Linked DNA regions of Xenopus tropicalis. The protein of the gene in region 2 interacts with the protein of the main gene of each other region in a pairwise test. Links are inferred from orthologs where the notes say so. Each region holds a gene or a part of one and is shown on either strand. Other genes may lie near its edges.

Region 1 (6,731 bases), on a different chromosome or scaffold from region 2:
TATTGAGAAAACTGCAGGTTACAGGAAGGACATCTCCCATAGACTCAATATTAAGCAAATAATAAATCAGTAGCTTGTACTTAATGGTAACTCGGCTGCATGAATCCATATTAGTGACAAAATAATCCTACTAGGTTTACTTCATGTTTAAAGGATTTTTAGCAGACTTAAGTTGTAGTGGTCAAAATCACTGAACAATCCCCCATCCAGAACACTCTAGGTCCCTAACATTCCAGACAACAGAGCCCATACCTACAGTTTGCTACTGGTGCAGTTGCATTCCAGTTACAATCCATTCCTTATTTTAAACCAAAAGGCAGTGCATTTTTTTTTTTAATCTTCAGGTTGGCTTGAACTCACTAATCTACCCAACAAAGAATAAATACTGGCATGCATTTAACACCATAGTTTTAGTAAATACTGCCTAACTCAAGTGTGTCCAACCTTCTTAAAATACTAACTGGGCCAAATAATTTTCAAGTTTGCTTCAAATTTCAACAATTGACAGATCAACAGAAAAAACACATTTTGCAATAAACAGTTTACAGCAGATTAGTTTGCATATTTGGGTACTTACCATACATGGTATGAGTTTGTTCAGGAGTGGCATACTGTGCAGCGGAGGAGGATACAAGGCCAGCCTGTGCATGAGATGGTGGTGCCATCATTCTTGTGTTCCCCTGTATCACAGGACTATATACATGTGGGTGCTGAAATACACAAAATAGTGGAAAGATATATTTTAAATAAATAAAATAAATTGGAAAAAAGAAACATTTTAAAATTATTTTTTTTAAAAGTTGCAAAAAAAAAGTAAAAGAAGTGACTGGGCCAATTTAATTTAGACCTGCAAAATTTAATAGGAGAGACTTAAAAAGAAAACATTTTGTGCTTTTCAAATGGCTGGGATTCCTAGTTCTTCTGACATTGGACAGATGCCGAATAACAAAGGCTATACAAAGAACTGCACATCATACCAATAATATAATGCAATGGAACATGGCAAGCCAGAGCGTCACTGCACAATGCAAGCTTCAGTGACCCCACCACACAATGTACCTGTTTAGGAGAGCCAGGTATGGCTGGTGCTCTAAGAAGGAACAGGTACACTGCAGTATGTGCAAAGTTATCCTTTTTCAAGCTGCGCAATGGATGAGTGGGTCTTGTAATGTGCAGCATTACGCAATATTATGTACATACATGCCAAGTTCTTGCATGCTTCACACTTGTGAGTGGAGTGTCACAGCTTGTTTACGCACACACACACAGGCAATGCCGTGTTCGTAATCGCTGCATGATGCATTTTAATTCATGAAATCATACACTAGCTTTCCACTAAAGGTGGTCCATTCTAAAACATAACCACATTATTACCACCATATCCGCAAAAACCTGAGAACTAAGAGCATTAATTAGTTAATTTGGTTAGTTGTAATGCGAAGACTCATGACAATACTCATGACTGTGATATCAGTGTGACCAATTTTGATAAAGAAACATGGATTAAAATAAAAACAAGGTATGTAATATTTTATATATAAAAATATATTCAAGTATACTGTAGTAACATTCAAAAGAAAAAAAAAAAAAAAAAGAAATAAAGCTGAAGGTTACCTGTGACTGATAGTGCTGTACATGCTGCATAAGTGGTTGATTAGGAAACTGTTGAGGGCTGTAAGCCACATACTGGGCAGAATAGGCAGGTGGGGTAGCAACTATTGGTGGTCCTGCTGCAGATACTGGATGCATCATTGTATTCTGGTGGTGCTGATCTTGCCGTTGCTGGGGCATATTGGGTACTAAACAAGAAAAATACTTTGATTAGCAACCTCGAATGCTGTGGTTCTCAACCTTCCTAATGCTGTGACCCTTTAATACAGTTCATCATGTTGTGGTGACCCCCAACCATAAAATTATTTCTAAACCCATCGAAAATATGTGTTTTCTGATGGTCTTAGGTGATCCCTGTGAAAGGGTTCTTCGACCCCCAAAGGGGTCCTGACCCACAGGTTGAGAACCACTGCTCTAATGTGTATTGATATACAGTGATCCCTCATTACACTACAGCCACACAGGTGGATCCGTATAGTCTTAATTAGCCTTTCCATGTTCCAGCACCCAAAGCCTCTTTGTCTGCCCGGGTGCAGGCATTCACAGTGGATTTTTGGAGTTGACACAATGGCTGAGTGCAGGGACAGGGAAAGGCTGTTTAGAGCATAGGGACTGACTCCTGCGGCTGCCCAACGTTTTCATTAAATATTATCAATCTACACTTAATATTCTGATGTGACACTAAAAAAATTTTCAGAGTGAAACACACTGAATTACCATAAGTATTCCTGGTAACATAACATGTATTCCTGGTAACATAACATGTATAATTTACATGCATGCAGGCCTAGTTTCACTGTAACATGTTGCTATCAGTTCTGCTGTGCTCAGCCATCTTTTATCTGTTCTTTTAACAAAACCCCACCCAATCTATTGCATTCAATGAAACTTTAGATAACACACAAAACACACTGTGGACAAAAAAATAAAGCTTTATGAAATTATGTAGACTGATTTTACTTTAACACATGGGACATAACTGTTCAGTTAGTTTGCATTTGAATCTGACCTGTGTGCTCACAAACTAACTGAACAGTTATGTCCCATGTGGCCCCCCTTTAAGTCACTGACTAAGAGGTTAGAGACCTGAAAGCAGGATGTTCCGGCTATTACATTAGACATCCACTCACTTCAGTCTTTATAAATTACATCTTTGAAATATTGGAAATATTTTTTTCATTTTGCAGTCTATCCATTTTAACCAGTTTAATTTTTACACTGAAGTGTTCCTTTAAACATGGACACTTATAAACACCACATGTTGCACAGCCTAACAATTATTTTCAGATGCATGCTTAATAGAAGCCATCTCTAGTATTAATCAGAACTGCAAAGCATCCATGACATATGAGCCTATTTTACAGGTGCCCAGTTTTTAATCAGTCAACTTTATTGTTAATAAAAGGCTCAGTCTTGAATTGTAAATGGTACTATGTGGAGCGGTTTCTAGTTGGGCAGTTCTGTACTTGTGGCAGCAAGAAGGAAACCGTAACGAGCAGACCCTAAATTGTGTTCATCCAAGCAGTGAACAGTGATGGGAATGTACTTACAAGAGCAGATTCTTTATATATGACAGTAAGCTCTTTAGTGTAATTAACTTTCATTAAATGGCTAAGAAGGCTGTTTCAAAAAAATGAGGGCAATACTTTGTTTACAAAACACGCATTGGAAGACATTTGCTTTCAATGTAGAAAAAAAAAAAAAAAACCTACTAGACATGTATACAATGCACACACATCTAAAATATTCTTCCCAAAAAATCATGCAGCATGCACGCAATTCAGATGTCACTGTCTCACCTTTACCTGCTCTGTAAGTCTTGGCCTGGTTCACTGGCATTGTAGTCATTGGAATGGAGTATAATGGCTGAAATAATAGATATATATATATATATATAATTACTAATTGGTCCTGCCAAAAGTTGTAGAAAAACATAAATCCAGCTTTAGTCATAGCCACTCTTACAAATGAGCTTACTATGACAGAACTCTTCATGCAGCCCTAAAAATAGGTAGTGACCCCAAGTGATGTTAGTAGCTGTAAATTTTGCTTCCCATTCGCCCATTCTGTGACAGCACTGACCTATGGTTTCTTGTGCAGGGTGGAACTTGATTAACCCAATAAAGCAGAAATCATACAGTATCTTTATGATGGAAAGCAAATGAAATAAACCCTTCTAAAAACAAATGGGGCAAGTGTATTGGTGTTCCCAGCTAGTTTCAAAGAGAGCCCACCCCTATTCATGTCATGTGACAAGTCATTAATATACTTGGCATCATTCCAGCAACTACACAACCATTCATAACCCTTAACTGCCAATCACAAATGCTGGGAATTGCAGTTCCTGGTTTCTAATTCCAACACTGTTGTTTTTCAATGTATGCTCATTTAAGAATAAACTATGGCTGGGTAACTGCTAACAATCAATTACTGCTTAGCAATTTACATCCTTGTCAGAATGAGTTCCCACTTTGTGTGTTCTACAAATGGGTGCAAAAGAAATGTCAATATTTATTTTTTGACATCCAAAATGACCAATTAGATCAGGTGAATGATTACCTGAACTCCAGGGCTCACAGGAACTGGATACATCATATTCGGTGCAAAACATACTGGCTGGGTATACACAGGCGTTGGCTGCTGATGTCCAACCACTGATGGACTTGGCTGAGTTTGGGGACGAGGTGAGGTTGGTGTTGTTGAAGGCTTGGGCTACAGCAAAACAAAAGATTTTACATGCACTCATTTTTCTGTGTAACTTATCTGCAATTACAATGGAAACATCTTAGGAAACATACCACAAAATTCATCTTATGTGTGGTTGCTACACGACCAGTATTTTACCAGCCTGGTCAGTAAAAATAATGCAATGGTTTACATTATATTAAATAAATGTAAAATATTTTGGTTTAGGTTGGGTGATCAGGGCCTAAGCCTTCTGTGCAAAACAAAGTGTTGGCTCTACTTCTCTCAGAAAAGTGGATCTGTTCTCTTCTACAGCTCAGTTTGACTATGCCAACAGACATAGCTTCGGCCTAAATGAACCTACATGGAGTCGAGATCGGCCCAAAAAACACGAAAGTAGGGATTTTGGGTCCAATCTCCACTGTGTATAGTTGCACTCAGTCCGAAGCCGTGTCGGTCAGTGAAGCTATCCAAAGCTGCGGAAGATAGCAGATGCACTTCACTCTCCAACAAAATTCATGCTGAGAGAAGCGAGCCAGTGCTCCGTGTGACCAGGGCCTTAGGCATACTGCTTATCAGCAAACAAAATAAGTGTGGCTAAACTGAATAACTGAAAGTGAATATGCCATTCACACCAGACTCAACCCTACCTGCTAGCCCCTCCTTACAAACACACCCCTGATCACTTTCCAGACAGTTAGCACTAGGACCATAAAGTAGGCAACAAGACCGCTAAATACCTAGCAACATTAAGGGTATGGTGTGTTGTAAGGGCTCTGGGCCTGGGAATCTTGCCTTCTTTGGTTCTCTATCAAGCGGTAGCTTGCTGGAAACTGAAGTAAGCTAAATAGCCAGGACCAATGAGGGAAAGGTGTCAGACCTCAGACCCTCTCCTATTTAGCAGCCAGAGACTGATTTGAATGAGAGACTGAAGCAACCCTATAAAGCTAATTAGTTCCAAGCTGAAAGGCTGCTGAACAAAAAGCTAAAAACTTTAAGCAAAAATTAAAATGCTACAATAAAAAAAACCAAAAAGGACCAGTTGCAAACACTACCCATAATCTTTTTTTTTTGGTCTGCTGTCACGGTGAGCCAAAGACTAAATTATCCTCAGCATTAAACAGGAACTTGGCAAACTTTACTTCGCGTATACTTTATGAATTCTACATTCCATATTGAAATTTAGAGAAATAATTACTTGAGCATATGATCTGGGATTGAACTCCTTCGCGTTTGGATTCAGAGTAGACTTTCTCACTTGCCTGTGAAGATAAAGTACCAGCAGTTAGTAAAATATAAGTACAGTACCAGCACAGGCTATTTACAAGGCAGTTTTCCCAGGCACTGTAAAAGTGAATTAATAAGGGACAGTAAGGATATGCATTTTCAGCATAAATACACATATCTACAGCTTATCTTATCTGCAATGTAAGGGCTCTGGCACACGGGGAGATTAGTCGCCCGCGACAAAATTCCCTGTTTGCGGGTGACTAATCTCCCCGAGTTGCCATCACCTGGCATCCCACCCGCGAAAATGTAAGTCGCCGGTGGGATGGCACACGCGGCATTGCGATTCCGGCAAATCGCCGAAAAAGCCTTGCGAGGCAACTTCGGCAATTTGCCGAAATCGCGCCGCTGCGTGTGCCATCCCACTTACATTTTTGCTGGTGGGATGGCAGGTGATGGCAACTCGGGGAGATTAGTCGCCCGCGAACAGGGAGTTTTGTCGCTGGCAACTAATCCCCCCGTGTGCCAGAGCCCTTACCTGTGCATTTTCTCCTTTTTTCCAGCTTGAATGGCTGCACCCCGGGGCTACACAGCAGGGTATTTATATAAACTATAGTAGCATTTCTGAGGCAAACATACCAGTTGTACCAGTGCAGAGCAATAGTACATTATATTTTAAATTACTTTAAAGCTCTTCAAAAAAATTTGTGTTACTGTTCCTTTAAGCTACCCACATTGCAATACTGTGATGTGGCCATTTGTCTAGAGACACACCACATAACACCGGAAATTAGCGATAACAAAAGTGCTCATCTTGCTCTGTTTGTGAGATTTCAGGCTGAGGGCCATATTAGTGCATTCCTCTGAAAGGCTAGCTATAATGAAAGAAGCATTCACTTTTTTAAAAAGTATCTGACGTACAGTAAAGCTCAATTTTACATCCCCTGGTTGTAAGTGTTCCTACATTTTACACCATTTTTAAAATATAGTGTACACACACACACATACTATAATATATATATATAACACACACACACACACACACACACACACACACACACACACACACACACACACATTACACAGCAAATAATTCCCTCTACCATTTAAACCTTTATTCTTGAACCAACAAATGTATTTAGTTGTAACATTGGAGTGTAGGCGCCATCTCAGCTTTCAGAAGGAGGCAGCGCTTTATAAAAGCAACT
Region 2 (6,731 bases):
GCATCTGAGACTGATATATTATCAGTGCTGAATTTACGCCCGGTGCCACCCTAGGCACCAGACCTAACTGTGCCCCTAGATTGTGGAAGATCACTTCCCAAATTTCCTTGGGAATATTGTGTGTCTTGTATATAGCTTGGTAAATTATAAACCAAGTCTTTAAGCTGAATATCTATAAACTGAGACAGCGGATAAGTAGCAAAATTAATGGCAGATACAGTGGATTTACCACACTTTTATGGATCTTTGGCAACCCATAAGGAACAGCTTCTTGTGGGTTCTCAACTAGTCCAACTGTAATATCAATTCGTTGGACAAGAATGCAGGTATTTACCAAAAAGCTAAAAAGAACGGCTCTTCGATATGAAAATAATATTTTTTAATATTGTGTCCTGGGGTAGGTGCCAGTGAGATGTATGAACTACAGTGTTACAATTTCAAGAAGTGTTGTGGGTAAAGATGGCTTAGAGACATTATGCTTTTAGTTCTTAATCCACTCTACCTCCAACCTGTTCATGTTCTTGTAAATGTATTATAGATGTGCCGACTCTGCCCAAGAGGTAAGTGGAGTAGCAACTGTATTAGCCAAGGGGATTAAGTGAATGGACTGTATAATAGCAGGTTCCTGTTTCTCTGTGAATTCCCCAGTGTGCCTGTAGTCCAACCTACTTTCTGGATCAAATCTGTATTTAACACAAGTGACGATTGCTCTCAGCCATTCTCGATATTTTCTGCTTTACAGTACCATTTAAAAAGGCTGGAAGGGCGTCGTTTAGATTATGACTATAAAAAGAGGCGCCAGGGGAAGATCCCGGATGAGGAAATCAGACAAGCAGTGGAGAAATTTGAAGAGTCCAAGGAACTAGCAGAAAGGAGCATGTTTAACTTCTTGGAAAATGATGTAAGTCTACTGTAGAGATTCTGCTAGCAAACAAATAATAGTGTAGGCGACACACTTTCACACAGTGTTATGTTCTATATGACATAAAAACACAATTGATATATATTTTATGATGATTATAACCTTGTCAGCTACAAGCACATTTTCCCAGTAATATGGAGTTGGTAAGTGTTGCATCTATGATAGGCTTTTATTCTTTTCCGTAAATCATTTCTCTCAAGTAATTATGGTGCCAGTGTATTATTCTCCCAGCACATAAATAACAGTGACACAACCTCAGGGGAGGTAGCAGATCTTATAGAGACAGCAGACCCAGTGGCCGCGAGCAGAGGGAGGGTACAGTAAGGGTTGTTGGCAGATCTACTATTTCAGTAGCTGCTTTAAAAATATTTTGGGGGGGATACAGGGGGTATTAAAATATTTTAGGAGTAGTATATTACATATTTATAAACAACAGCAATAAGGCTGGTGCCACATTGGTCTGTTACTCAGCCTGCATATAAGCACTGACGAGAAACAGCCCTTCCGTTTGCATCCGCTCTCTCCTGTGTCTACACTCAGAGGCAATGTTTCAGCCTGGCTGCAGGCACACAGAGCGTATTTCAGCATAAAAATGCATACTCACATGGTTCAGCACCTAAAAAAAAGGAGAGAATGCCAGGGGGCCATCTGAAAAGCAGACCAAGAATTAGCCTTGTGTGGCATTAGCCTAAAAGTATACAGAGTAATCCAGCTGTCTTCTAAGGACTGACTATTAAATACAGATAATTAAGTCAGAAAGAGATATTTACTGATCCCAGTTCATTGAATTATTATATGTTATTTGAGATCACACCCATCCAACCTGGGATTAAATCTCTGCATTTCAATAAATTACTTATCTTTCTAAAATACAGCGGTGCCCAAGCAGCTGCATCTTATTAAAGCTTTATTTGTACTGTGTAGCAGCAGTATAAGACTTGGTCATGTATCTTGCAGGGTCATCACTTCATTTTCCTTATTCTCCTATTTCCCAATTCAAATTCTTCTTTCAATTCCACTTGCATTATGAAATCACAAATAATGTAATGTATGAGCTGATTATGCCTTTCTGAGGGACAGGCTGATATAAAAAGCTGTGTATTGCAGATGATGCAAGAAAATTAATGGTGTTTATCAGGATGTTCCAGGAATATTTTGTGACATTTTACGCCATCTGGTGGGAATATGTAGAACTGCAGCTTAGATTCTCAATTACAGTGTTGTTTCATAAATGTATGAGGTATATGTATATCTCTTTATTTATATAACGTTACTGGTATATGCAGTGCTTAACCCACACATTAACTATAGTCATTTAGTTATAAAATTTCATCTTTTCAACAGGTCTGAACAGGAGAAAAAAGCTCAACAATAGTGTGATAAATAGGGACTGAAAAAAACTGACTATTATGATTATGTTATTGCCCAGTTTTGTGTGCTTAATTAATGCTATCTTGGTGACATTTGCAACCACTGTTCTTAAGTAAAAAGATTGATTTGCACTTACTATACTGCCATGTGGTACTTTCTTCAACTGATGAGAATGGAAGAATTAGTAAACCTTGATGCAAAGGAAATAAAGCCACATGAATAATAATAATGAGAAGCCCACCAGCATACTCTGGCCTCTCCAGTTTAACTGCTTTAGGGCTCAGTGTGGTACAGATCAGCACCCTGCTCGTTGTAACTAAATGAAAGGAAAAACCCAGCACAGCGAAGCAAGTGCAGTTGGGGAACACCTTTGTGAAAAAGCTGCCCCTATATTAGTCCTGACTGTGTAGGCAGCTTATGTGCCCATGTATAAGGACAAAACAAGATATATATATGATCAGGAGGAAAATGGTTGCTTTCCTCTCCCGACAGGTCTGCATGGAGCCCCTATTCCATCTGATTTACTGATTCATTGCTATGGGTTATTGCCCATGTGCCAATTTGCCCAATGTTTATAGATTAGCCCCAGTATGTCATGTATGGGATATATAACCTACCCCAAAATATCACAAATGCATCTTAGAGTGGCTTGTTTGAGGTTCATCTAATAACTGCTGTCTTCTTATTACAGATAGAACAAGTAAGCCAACTGTCTGTATTTGTAGAAGCTGCCTTAGACTATCACAGACAGTCTGCTCAGATTCTTGAGGACCTACACAACAGGTTACACAATAGGTGAGCCACTGGCAGGTAATGGTTTTAAGCAATGGTGGCGCCATCGAATATTGTGCACACTGAAAGAGAGGATTTAACCATATCAGATATTTTGTTACGAATTTACACTAAAATCCTTACTGGTTGCTGCGAGTCTCCCATTTTTAAATAGCCCAGAAAAGCTGGGCCAAGGTGCCTGAAAATGCCCTCCACTGACTTGCAGAGGCAATACTGGAAATGCACCCTACACTGTTCCAGATATCTGACAAGCACTGGCACACAACTGACACAATTTGGAGTAGGAATTTGCATTAGCTTCCAAGGCTACAGACCCTTCTCTATATAGGATTTGTCAGTTTCTATCAAAGAAATAATCATTTGATCCATATTTTATAGTATTTAAATGGGCAGTTCACTTTTGAGTTAACTTTTAGTATGTAATAAAATGGCCAGTTCTTAGCAATTTTTCTGTTGGTCTTTATTGTTTTTTAAATGTATTTCCTGATCTGTCTCTTTTCATCTTTGAAAAGGGTGTCACTGACCATGGCAGCAAAAAATATTGCTCTTTCAGGCTACTGTTTCATTATTATTGTTACTTTTTATTACTTATCTTTTTCTAGTCAGACCCACCCCTATTCATATTCCAGATTCTCAATCAAAAGCTGGTTGCTAGGGTAATTTGGACGATTGCAACCATATAGCTGCTGATTAAAAAGCTGAATAATTAAAAAAACACACTAATAAAACAAATAATACCAATTGCAAATTGTTTCACAATAGCACTCTCTAAATATACTGAAAGGTATTTTAAGGTAAACAGCCCCTTTAATCATAAACAAATAATGACAAATGAAAACTTTAACTCTTATTTCTCATTAGCTCATCTTAGCCTCATTAGCTCCTAACTGGGTCCTACATGAGCAGGCAATTGGGCAAGATTTGTGTTATCAGCATGGTGCCAAGGTGCATATGGGAAGCACGCTTCCCGTACAACCTCTTACTCTACCCAATCACCGAAATTTGCCACCTAGTGCACCTTAAGTAATGGCCATACTCTTAGGCTGATGTCACACCAGGCGTAGGGCTGATTTTTTCGGCAAGCGGATAAACGCTTGCCGAAAATTCAGCCCTACGCCTGCTACTTGTGCCTGCACCCGAATGAATGAGATACGCTCGGGTGCAGGCACATGTAGCTGATATACGCATTAAAACGCGAGACTTTGCATTCTCTCGCCCTTTTTTCGGCAAGCGGAAAAACGCTTGCCGAAAAAATCAGCCCTACGCCTGGTGTGGCATCAGCCTAATATTGTTACTACAAGCTCAGCCAGCACTGAATCAGGGGGAGAATGTGCTCCTTTGAGATGAAATCCTGTTGTTTGCATTCAGCTGCTGACAGCAGTGTTTTGTTCTGTTCCCAGAATGAATACAGCCTCCAGCCGACCAAAGAGGGAATTACAACATAAATCAATAATTGCAACCCTGGAGTCAAATGAAAAGCTACATCACAATGGGATTCCCAGCAACTCATCAATCAAGCCATCAGGTAAAGGTGTAACCAGCTTGCAACTATTTACCAATAATTTAGAGCAATGTCGTTTTTGGAATGAGTGGGAAAAAAAAACTTTTTTGGGACACCCAGCTTTATAGGCAGTGGAAGAAATTGCGTTTAGCTAGGCTAGTTCCTCGGGTTCTTCAGGGTCTTGGCTTCTCCAACAGAAAACAAAGTGCAGTTTCCCTCGATCCATATTGTTTACCCACTGCAATGTTTTGAAAAATTTATCTATAAACCAGGTTGGAAATCACGAGCGATGCAACTGAACCGAGTAGAATCAGAAGACACTTCTGGCATATGTAATTTAAGCTTTTGCCATTTTGTACTTGCAAAACAGCAGGGGGCCTTGTAATACATATTTATGATATTAGCATTGTCAAATGCGCTGATATCATGAATACAAAAAGAAACAAATTAATAATGTAGAAGTGCTCAGAAGAGCACTTTGAGCAATTTTACAGGGGACATGATTACTCTGTACAAGTACATTAGAGGGGATTATAGGCAGATGGGGGATGTTCTTTTTTCCAGTAAAAATGATCAACGCACCAGAGGTCACCCCTTTAGATTAGAAGCAGCGTAGGGGGTTTTTCACGGTTAGGGCAGTGAGGTTGGGGAATGCCCTTCCTAGTGATGTGGTAATGGCAGATTCTGTTAATGCCTTTAAGAGGGGCCTGCCTTGAAGAAGCAGAATATCCAAGGCTACAGTGATACTAATATCTACAGTTAGTATTAGTGGTTGTATATATAGTTTATGTATGTGAGTGTATAGATTGGTAAGTATAGGCTGTGTGTGCTGGGTTTACTTGGATGGGTTGAACTTGATGGACTCTTTTTTCAACCCTATGTAACTAACTATACATGTTGTAGGGAGCTTATGTCCTCTTTAAATGGTGAATGGACAGCTTGCTATTCACTTGTATGGGAGTTTCACATTTTTTCTCTGGCAACCAGTGGCAAATTGAAATTTCAGAATATAACTATACACCTTAGTGTTATTTGATAAAAAAATAAATAAAAGAGCCAATTTTTTGGTTTGGTCTACATATACACTTCCTGTAGCGCCTTCACTGCTGCCGAAAGTAATAGGCTTCAGCTAATCGATGCCTGTTTGCTTCCTGTACATTTTATAGGTTCCTCTGGAAACTTGGACCAGCCTTGCTGCAGAGCACTGTATGACTTTGAGCCAGAAAATGAAGGAGAACTTGGATTTAAGGAAGGAGACATCATTACTTTAACCAATCAAATTGATGAGAACTGGTTTGAAGGTATGGTCAACGGTGAATCAGGATTTTTCCCTATTAACTACGTTGAAGTGGTGGTTCCGCTTCCATAGTGAACCATGGACTGAGAGACAATTTCATCCTGTAAAAAACGAAACAAAAGGACTTGCAAACATTTTGAATGTGGCATTCTGTGAACGCCTTGCTACTGGAGTGACTTCAGATCTTTAGTATGTGTCATCTCTTTTATATGTATTTATTTTGTATTAATTTTATTTTTATGAATACATTGACATCAAAATACAAATCTATTTTTGTTCGTACTGTTCTATGGAGACCTCCTGCTTACCTTGTTTGAGAAGTAATACGATCCTGTGTGTATCAGTTCCTTACTGAAAGTCAAGGTTTTATACTCCTCTCAAAGTATTAGACTGCCCAGGGTGAAAGGAAGGCTACTCTCATGGCTAGCACAAAATACAAAAGATCAGTTTTGGCAGGGGCTAGTTTATTGCCTTTTAACTGTGAATATTCTAATACGTGTTGCACAATATTTGTTAACAAGAGTAGACAATGTTGCTATGTTATTGTAAACTGTCTTATTAAAAAATACTATGTTTATCTGACCAAATCTAATAAATATAAAAAGCTGATTGTCAAAACTTTTTTTTATTATGTTTTCTGTTAATAGAACCTGAGATGCTTATAAAGGGGCTGGTATGATATTAATAGAGGGATCGGGAAAGGCCTCTGCTAGAACAGCATGTGCTCAGCCAGTGATGGGCAGGAAGCTCTGATGACACAATTTCAGATACTCTTCATTATCCCACTGATCAGCCAGCAGGCCATACACAGGAATACTGTACAAGTGGCTGTAAACTATATGGGAACT
Region 3 (7,187 bases), on a different chromosome or scaffold from region 2:
AAAAACGCTTGCCGAAAATTAAGCCCTACACCTGCTACTTGTGCCTGCAACCGAATGAATGGAATACGCTCGGGTGCAGGCACATGTAGCCGATATACGCATGAAAACGCGAGGCTTTGCATTCTCTCGCGTTTTCATGCGAATATCGGCTACATGTGCCTGCCCCTGAGCGTATTCCATTCATTCGGGTGCAGGCACAAGTAGCAGGCGTAGGGCTGAAAAAATCAGCCCTACACCACGTGTGGCATCAGCCTCAGACTTTATTAAACTACAGCTTAGATTATCAATGTATCGACCTTCCCCTTTAATACAATTGTGTATGCCATCCCACCGGCGATTTACAATCTAGCCAATGGGATGGCATTTCGGGGAGATTAGCTGCCCGCGACAAGGGAGATTTGTCGCGCAGTGACTAATCTCCCCGTCTGCCATGACGCTTACAAACAAAAAGAAGCATCTGTCTCACCTGTCGGCTTGGACCTTCCTGAGGTTATCTGCAGTTAGAGGACTCTGTTTCACTACTCGAATAAACTGCTCATTGGTCAATTTTAGATTTCCGCTAGTTTCTTCCACCTGCTTTGTCAGATCCAGCATCTTACTGGACAGAGGGAAAGAGGTTGTTCGAACTTCTGCTCGTTTCCCCATGAGGTCTTCAAATTTTCCTTCCAGCTGCCTCTGTGTTTTTAGAATCTTTCCAATTTCATTTCCAACTATCTAAAATTACACACAAGACATTAGAAAGCCGACTAATTATAAAGAAAGGCAAAAACAGTCACTACAAATATTCCAGACCGAACGACGCTGCTTTAATATAAATGTTTGCTCAGAAAATATTTGTTCCCAGAGCATCTTGTATTGCACTAGATCAGGGATCCCCAACCTTTTTCCACCCATGAGCCACATGCAAAAATCAAAAGTTGGAGAGCAACACAAGCACGCAAAAAGGTCCAGGGGGTGTCTATTTTGGGCTGTCATTGGCTACTGGTAGCTCCTATGTGGTCTGGCAGCCTACAATGCTTCCAAAACTTTCCTCCAAGCCAAGAATTTAAAAATAAGCACCTGCTTTGATGCCACTGGGAGCAACATCCAACAGGTTGGTGAAAAACATGTGGCTTACGAGCCACTGGTTGGGGATCCCTGCACTAGATAATATATGCTAACTTTATAACCAGGTTACATTTGCAGGACTTTTTAGGATATTCAACATCAAAAGTTAGATTCCACAAAATACCCAATCACAGCCAAATGTTTATGGTCACTAACATCACTGCGGCCATGGTAAGATACAGGCATGATGTTTCCCAGAACGGAGAGTTGATCTAGGCTGTCCTCCAGTACAGTGCACGCCCGAAGTGCATCCAGCATAGACAATGTCATCTTTCAAGGAGTTTTACTTGACCTGCAAGGTATGAATGTGTCAGAATGCAAAGCCTTTAGTTTGCTGCAAATTGGATAAAACACTTTTTAAAAGGTGCCTACCAAACAATGCAAGATAAGCAAACACTAAGCCCCAAAAAGTTCTGCAAGCATGGATCTTTAGCAAATAAATCAAATATATTTACAAAATCATGTGCAAAGTTCAGTGTTTTGGTCACTACAGTGTAACCTTTCTTAAGGATTTCTGTATCCACACACAAACAGTGAAAATCTACCTTCCCCACCCTAATAAGCCCAAAAAGGCACCAAAAAGCTTGTAATAATTAGAATGTGCTAAGGTAAAAAAAATTATAATGCTATTATCAACCATGGGGCATAGTAAACAGCAAAAGCACAAAGGAGATTGACAAAGAGGCAATTCCTCTTTAATAGCGCTCTGTTGCCATAGCAACCTGTATGTGCAGAGCCCATACTACATTTCCCAGAAGTCTCCATGAGCCCAAATTTGTTTTAGGTGCTCATGCTTGCATTTAATGACTATTGATAAAGTTAACCTCGCACTATAGTTTAACACCTGGGTGCACTTGTATGTATACAATTAGTATAGTTCGCGAAGAGCATGTGCCCTGATTATATGTGTGTCTATGTTCTTCGCAAACTATGCATTTAATGACTAGTGTGCTGCCCAAACCACTGCTAACAACTCATATGCACAGAGACAAATTTGAAGATTTGAAATACCATTATAACAGGTATGGATGTTTTCATTAAAAAAATTTGGGTTTCATGTTAAATTTAAAAATTACTTTGACTTTATGTCTGGGTGGCAGGTCCCCTTTGAGCCAATAAGGAAACTCCAAACACAGTACTAACAATAGCATTTCCAGATTAAGAACTGACCAGGGAAACCTAGAACATTCCATTGCACCATCCTACTGAATGCAATTTCATAAGGAAGTATATAAGATGGATCAATTCAGATGTTTTCAAAGACACAAATGTGTTTATAACGGACAACTGGGTGACTTTTTCTTGCCCAAATGTGAATGCAAATGGGTTGGTGTATGGATTGGAAGGGCAGCTGAGAGTGGACACTGGTAGTATTGGAAGAGGGGCATCCCTACATAACAAACTGCTTACTTTTCTTGTAATACAACTAAAGGATAATGCAATTAGAATTTTATGTTTTATCCATTAAAGTATTATATCCAGCCAAATAAAAAGCATTTACTATAGAACAGGGAGCCTGTATCTTAGCCAGTGTATGTTTCTTAAGTCCCTGTATTACTACTACTCAGGTATGGTAACGTCTACCAAACACACACTGCATCCCTTTTTACCCCAACTATGTAGCTATATGCACATTCACGTACAATGTAAAATATATAATGCCAATACAGATTTTGCGAAAACTGATTTGCAAGTTACCTGTGCGTCAGAACACCCAATGTTTACATACAGTTGCCATGGGGATCGTACCCTGCCCGAGAGTCCTTGCGTCCTATTCGTCTTCGTACCGCCGGTTATATATCATTTTTAACATTTATTGCATTTATCTCACGATTTTAGATTTAAAATCAATTCTCTTAGAGATCATAGTTCATTGCCCTGAAATTGGGTTTAATTTATTTTTTTTTTTTACCCTTTTACATTAGGCAGTCACATGGACACCTCACGCATGCTACGTTCATAATTTCCCGTCATGCAAAGCGCTCCCCCTTCCTTTTCCTCCATCTTGGTTACCAGTGCGGGTGAGCTTAGTGTATAGTCAAATATTAATACTGAAAAATGGACAGTTAAATGGGTCGTATGAGAGAAATACCGACATGAACGGGGACGTCTACTTGAGCGTTATTTGCCGGGCCTGGCTTTGAGCCTGTGGGAGACGGGATGTTTGGGATACGGAGAGGATTGCATTGGAGCTAGGCTGATAGGATTTTCCCATTGCCGGCTTATTTTCGCAGCTGTACAACTGCAGCAAACTTGTTTTCGAGTTGTTCTTTTGGCGACAGTTGTGCCAGACACCTAAGGAAGTTTCCCTTCGCTGAGAGGCCGAGTTTTGTGTAGTAGTTGTCCCTTAATACAAACGGGGAATAAGCTTGGCTAATTGAAGTGCTGGGCAGCTTGGCTTGTACTTGTCTATAGGTTTTCTGCCGCCACCTATTCGTATAGTTCTATTATAGAAGTCAGCTGCTGCTGGAAAGCCAATTTAGGATCGTAAGTCCTGCCTTTGTAAGCGGGTAATTGTGGGGTCACTCGGGTGTGTGCCTGCTGGAGATGTGCTTCCTGATCATGCTTTTTGCTATTGCAAAGTCACACATGTTAAGGGAAAATGTTTGTTTCATATGACATATTTGGAAAGATGTTTTTATTGTTCATTTAAGAGAGGTGTCATAAAGATAATATTGATCTTGTCCTAGATTTTCTTTAAAAGGACAAGTAGTCTTATTTACTAGGGGAAGCAATATGTTGGCCGTGGGCATCTTTCTAACTGTCACACCACCATCTATCTGTATTTACCTGGATCCCTTGCACAGGCACAGTATAGGTACTTTTTACTGCATTGTGCACAGGTAAGACTATAGGTATAAGGGCTCCTGGGAAATGCAGGTAAGATTGTGGCGTGCCTCTTGGAGAAAAAGATCCACCTCTTTCTCTTTAAATGTTAACCCAGAATAAGGTCTCCAATACTTGGAGTGAATCATTAATACTCTTAATGACATAGTGTTACATGTGATTGCAAATGAAACTGTCTGCATAACTGTGTATGCATAACTGTGTATGCATCACCAAATGTTTTTAGATAGTGTTATGGTATTTGTGAGGTTCCATTTGCCACTGTTTGTATCTATTTCCTGTGACATTTCTCAGGGAAAGTAATTAAATCAAACGCAATATAATTAAAGCACATAAAGCTTGCAGTTTAACAAAAATATTTCTACGTCTTTTTTTTTTTTTTTTTTTTTTTTTTTACAGTCCTGCCTGCATCTGGACATTAGGAGAGCAACATGTCTGGAAGGTATGAGCAATATTTCTAATTCTGTATCATAGTAGTAAAGCAATTATTTACATGTCACTTATTTAGGCTGCTTTACTTCTGCGATTCAGCTAATCTTAGTTGTTATTGTGACATGAAAGTGACAAGCCTACCTTTTGGTTCTACTTTTTATTTTCTTCAAATTCTTTCAGCATGTGACACTTGCTTAGGCACAGCATAAGGTTTAATAATGTCTAAATTCCTATGTTATTTCACCTGTTTAGTTTTATAACCCAAGTAGAGCACCAATGTGGGTTTGCCAGATTTTATATAAATGTCGTACAAAAATATTGGAGCCCCAGATCAGACTGGGGGCCATAAATTTGGTTTGTAGTTCGATACTGATATTTTTTCATACCATTTGTGATTTAAAGGAGATATGAAGTAAAACTGTAGTGTGCGCTTTTGACAACCCTTGCAATTTAATTTTGAAGTGAAAATATATTTACACTTACAGTATATATCTGTTAATAAAGCGCCTAGAACTATAAATTAGTCAAAACTCTTTGAGGTTTTCAATTTAATTTTTTTAACCCTGTTTAACTTTCGCTGTAAGAATTAAAACCTTGGTATTCTGCAGAGTGTATTTAAATGTGCCTTTTTTAAATAAAATTGCTTAGAAGACCACTTAGAAATTGTATTTAAAAGCATTTCTTCCTATTGAAAAGGGAGGGATGATATAGAAGAGTTCCCATGTGTTTAATAACATTTTTGAAATTTAATTTTAGATTGTGGAGCAAAGCCACTTTTGCTGGCTACAAGCGAGGCCTTCGAAATCAGAGGGAGCACACAGCTCTTCTTAAAATTGAAGGAGTCTATGCTCGAGATGAAACAGAATTTTACTTGGGAAAAAGATGTGCCTATGTGTACAAAGCAAAAAAGTAAGTCGCTTTTACATTTGGGAACCAAGCACTTGGAATATGCACTGTTCTTCTGTTAGGTTAATGCCACACCATACATATGGTGTATATTTTCGACAAGCTGAAAACCACTTGCCGAAAATATGCGCCATGCGCTCCTACATGTGCCTGCACCTGAATTAATGGAATACGCTCAGGTGCAGGCACATAAAGCCGAAATATGCATAAAAACGTGAGAGAATGCAAAGCTAATTGAACAGCCCGTGTGTGTTTGTGGTGGGGGATGGGTTCCCAAGAATGGAAGTATTTTGATTACCAGTTCAGTTCACTTTTATATTTTTATGTAAGAATATGTAGACTGATATTTTTATGAACTGGCTTACTGTTCTTCCTCAAGACTGAAATCTAAAATAGAAAAACACGAAAAAACCCTAATGCATGTATAGGTTACGGATGATAGTTCTTTGCTGATTTATACGTAGACCTTCTGTCAGACTTTTAAAGCAAAATTAGTTTTGTCATGTTGAATTATATATTTTGACGAAAGATTTCACTTTCCTTTGGATATTTGAGTAACATTTTGCCATGCAAGCAGTGTATAAATTCCTCTCATACTTTGTATTGCTTTTTGCAGGATAACTTAAACTGAGATTTTTACTGAAAATTTATAGAAAGCTTGTTTCTTATAGTGTACTTTTGCACCTGTACAAAAATATTTTAGCTCATTGGGTAATGGCAACTAAAAAAGGCAGTTAAAGGGTGGGACAGGTTCAATCACTGGAGGGTGGCAATATGTTTCTACTTGCATGTTTAATAAAATGAGACAAACCTGTTTCTGTTAAATGTACTGCTGCTGGAGTTTTAAAATTGCAAGATGTAATGTTTACAAACTTTTTTTTTTTTTTTTATAGTAATACAGTGACACCTGGTGGAAAGCCCAACAGAACTCGTGTGATCTGGGGTAAGGTGACCCGAGCTCATGGAAACAGTGGCATGGTCCGTGCCAAGTTCCGCTCTAACCTCCCAGCTAAAGCCATTGGACACAGGATCCGTGTGGTAAGTGATTGCATCTGTTGGTGGAAAGTGAAAAGACCTCTGTATATGAATACATAATGTAAAGATATGGTACCACTGCTGTCATGGCCCTTGGTGCAAAACTTAGCTTGTGTTTGAAAAGAAGAACCCAATAACTGAAAGCCAAGTTTTGAGAGTTGACATCCCACCACCATTTCCACCTGAGGACAATTTTTTTTTCCATTCTGGGTCCTTTGTGTCATTGTACTAATGCCTAAGGGGACACAAAGTTGCAAAAAAAGTTTTTTCCTTGTATAACTGTATATGTGTTAAAGCCATTTGTTTGCTGTCTCTGATTTAGCCATGCCATTTTTTTTCAGACATTGATCAAACTAAGACCAAGAAATGTAAACTCTAACTCTGGCCCCATGGTACTTTTATGCCTGTATTGTAGTCTTTTGCTGGCATGTAAAATGTTAAATCGCTTTTGTGTATACAAAATCCTAGGGTTGAGGGATTATTTTTGCACATTGCAAAATGACTTAAGATTTACTGTGCTTTTTCAATTAATGTTTCTGACCTCTCTCTCTTTTTTCTTTTCAGATGCTTTACCCATCAAGGATCTAAATGTTAAGAAAAAATAAAAAGAAACATTCTAGATCTTTTCTATTTTTTGTGTTGTTTTTGAGACTTCTCTAAACACTCAGAGGAAACCCCCCACCCTCTCCCAAGGCAAGCAAAAGCATTCTGAAATGTGCTTACCTATCCATGTGATCCTATCTATTCCGCTGTGGTTTTTCTCCAACATATGTGCACACACTCTGATTTTGGGTTATTGCAGAACTCTTGTATATTGCTGGAAAAGCAACCTTTTGTTGGGGTTTTGTGTTTGTCGCACC

The links.
Region 1: the proteins of sh3gl3 (region 2) and atxn2 interact in binary tests that used the Homo sapiens proteins (3 or more experiments, as listed by UniProt). The link is inferred for Xenopus tropicalis from reciprocal best matches to the Homo sapiens genes SH3GL3 and ATXN2.
Region 3: the proteins of sh3gl3 (region 2) and rpl35a interact in a two-hybrid assay, tested with the Homo sapiens proteins (2 studies listed by BioGRID and IntAct). The link is inferred for Xenopus tropicalis from reciprocal best matches to the Homo sapiens genes SH3GL3 and RPL35A.

Annotation. Positions count from the first base shown.
Region 1 is NC_030677.2:163,139,819-163,146,549, reverse strand, and holds part of atxn2 (ataxin-2), read right to left. Parts: intron 5,559-6,731; coding exon 5,495-5,558; intron 4,324-5,494; coding exon 4,171-4,323; intron 3,478-4,170; coding exon 3,411-3,477; intron 1,800-3,410; coding exon 1,615-1,799; intron 711-1,614; coding exon 578-710; intron 1-577. UniProt on the Homo sapiens protein: Involved in EGFR trafficking, acting as negative regulator of endocytic EGFR internalization at the plasma membrane.
Region 2 is NC_030679.2:105,642,046-105,648,776, forward strand, and holds the end of sh3gl3 (endophilin-A3), read left to right. Parts: intron 1-742; coding exon 743-901; intron 902-2,984; coding exon 2,985-3,088; intron 3,089-4,485; coding exon 4,486-4,610; intron 4,611-5,752; coding exon 5,753-5,955; 3' UTR 5,956-6,501; downstream 6,502-6,731. UniProt on the Homo sapiens protein: Implicated in endocytosis. May recruit other proteins to membranes with high curvature.
Region 3 is NC_030681.2:100,505,586-100,512,772, forward strand, and holds rpl35a (60S ribosomal protein L35a), read left to right. Parts: upstream 1-3,099; 5' UTR 3,100-3,128; exon of another isoform or gene 3,129-3,617; intron 3,618-4,353; 5' UTR 4,354-4,385; coding exon 4,386-4,396; intron 4,397-5,142; coding exon 5,143-5,295; intron 5,296-6,185; coding exon 6,186-6,330; intron 6,331-6,891; coding exon 6,892-6,915; 3' UTR 6,916-6,954; downstream 6,955-7,187. Other genes in the region: iqcg (dynein regulatory complex protein 9), read right to left, coding at 467-714, 1,264-1,377.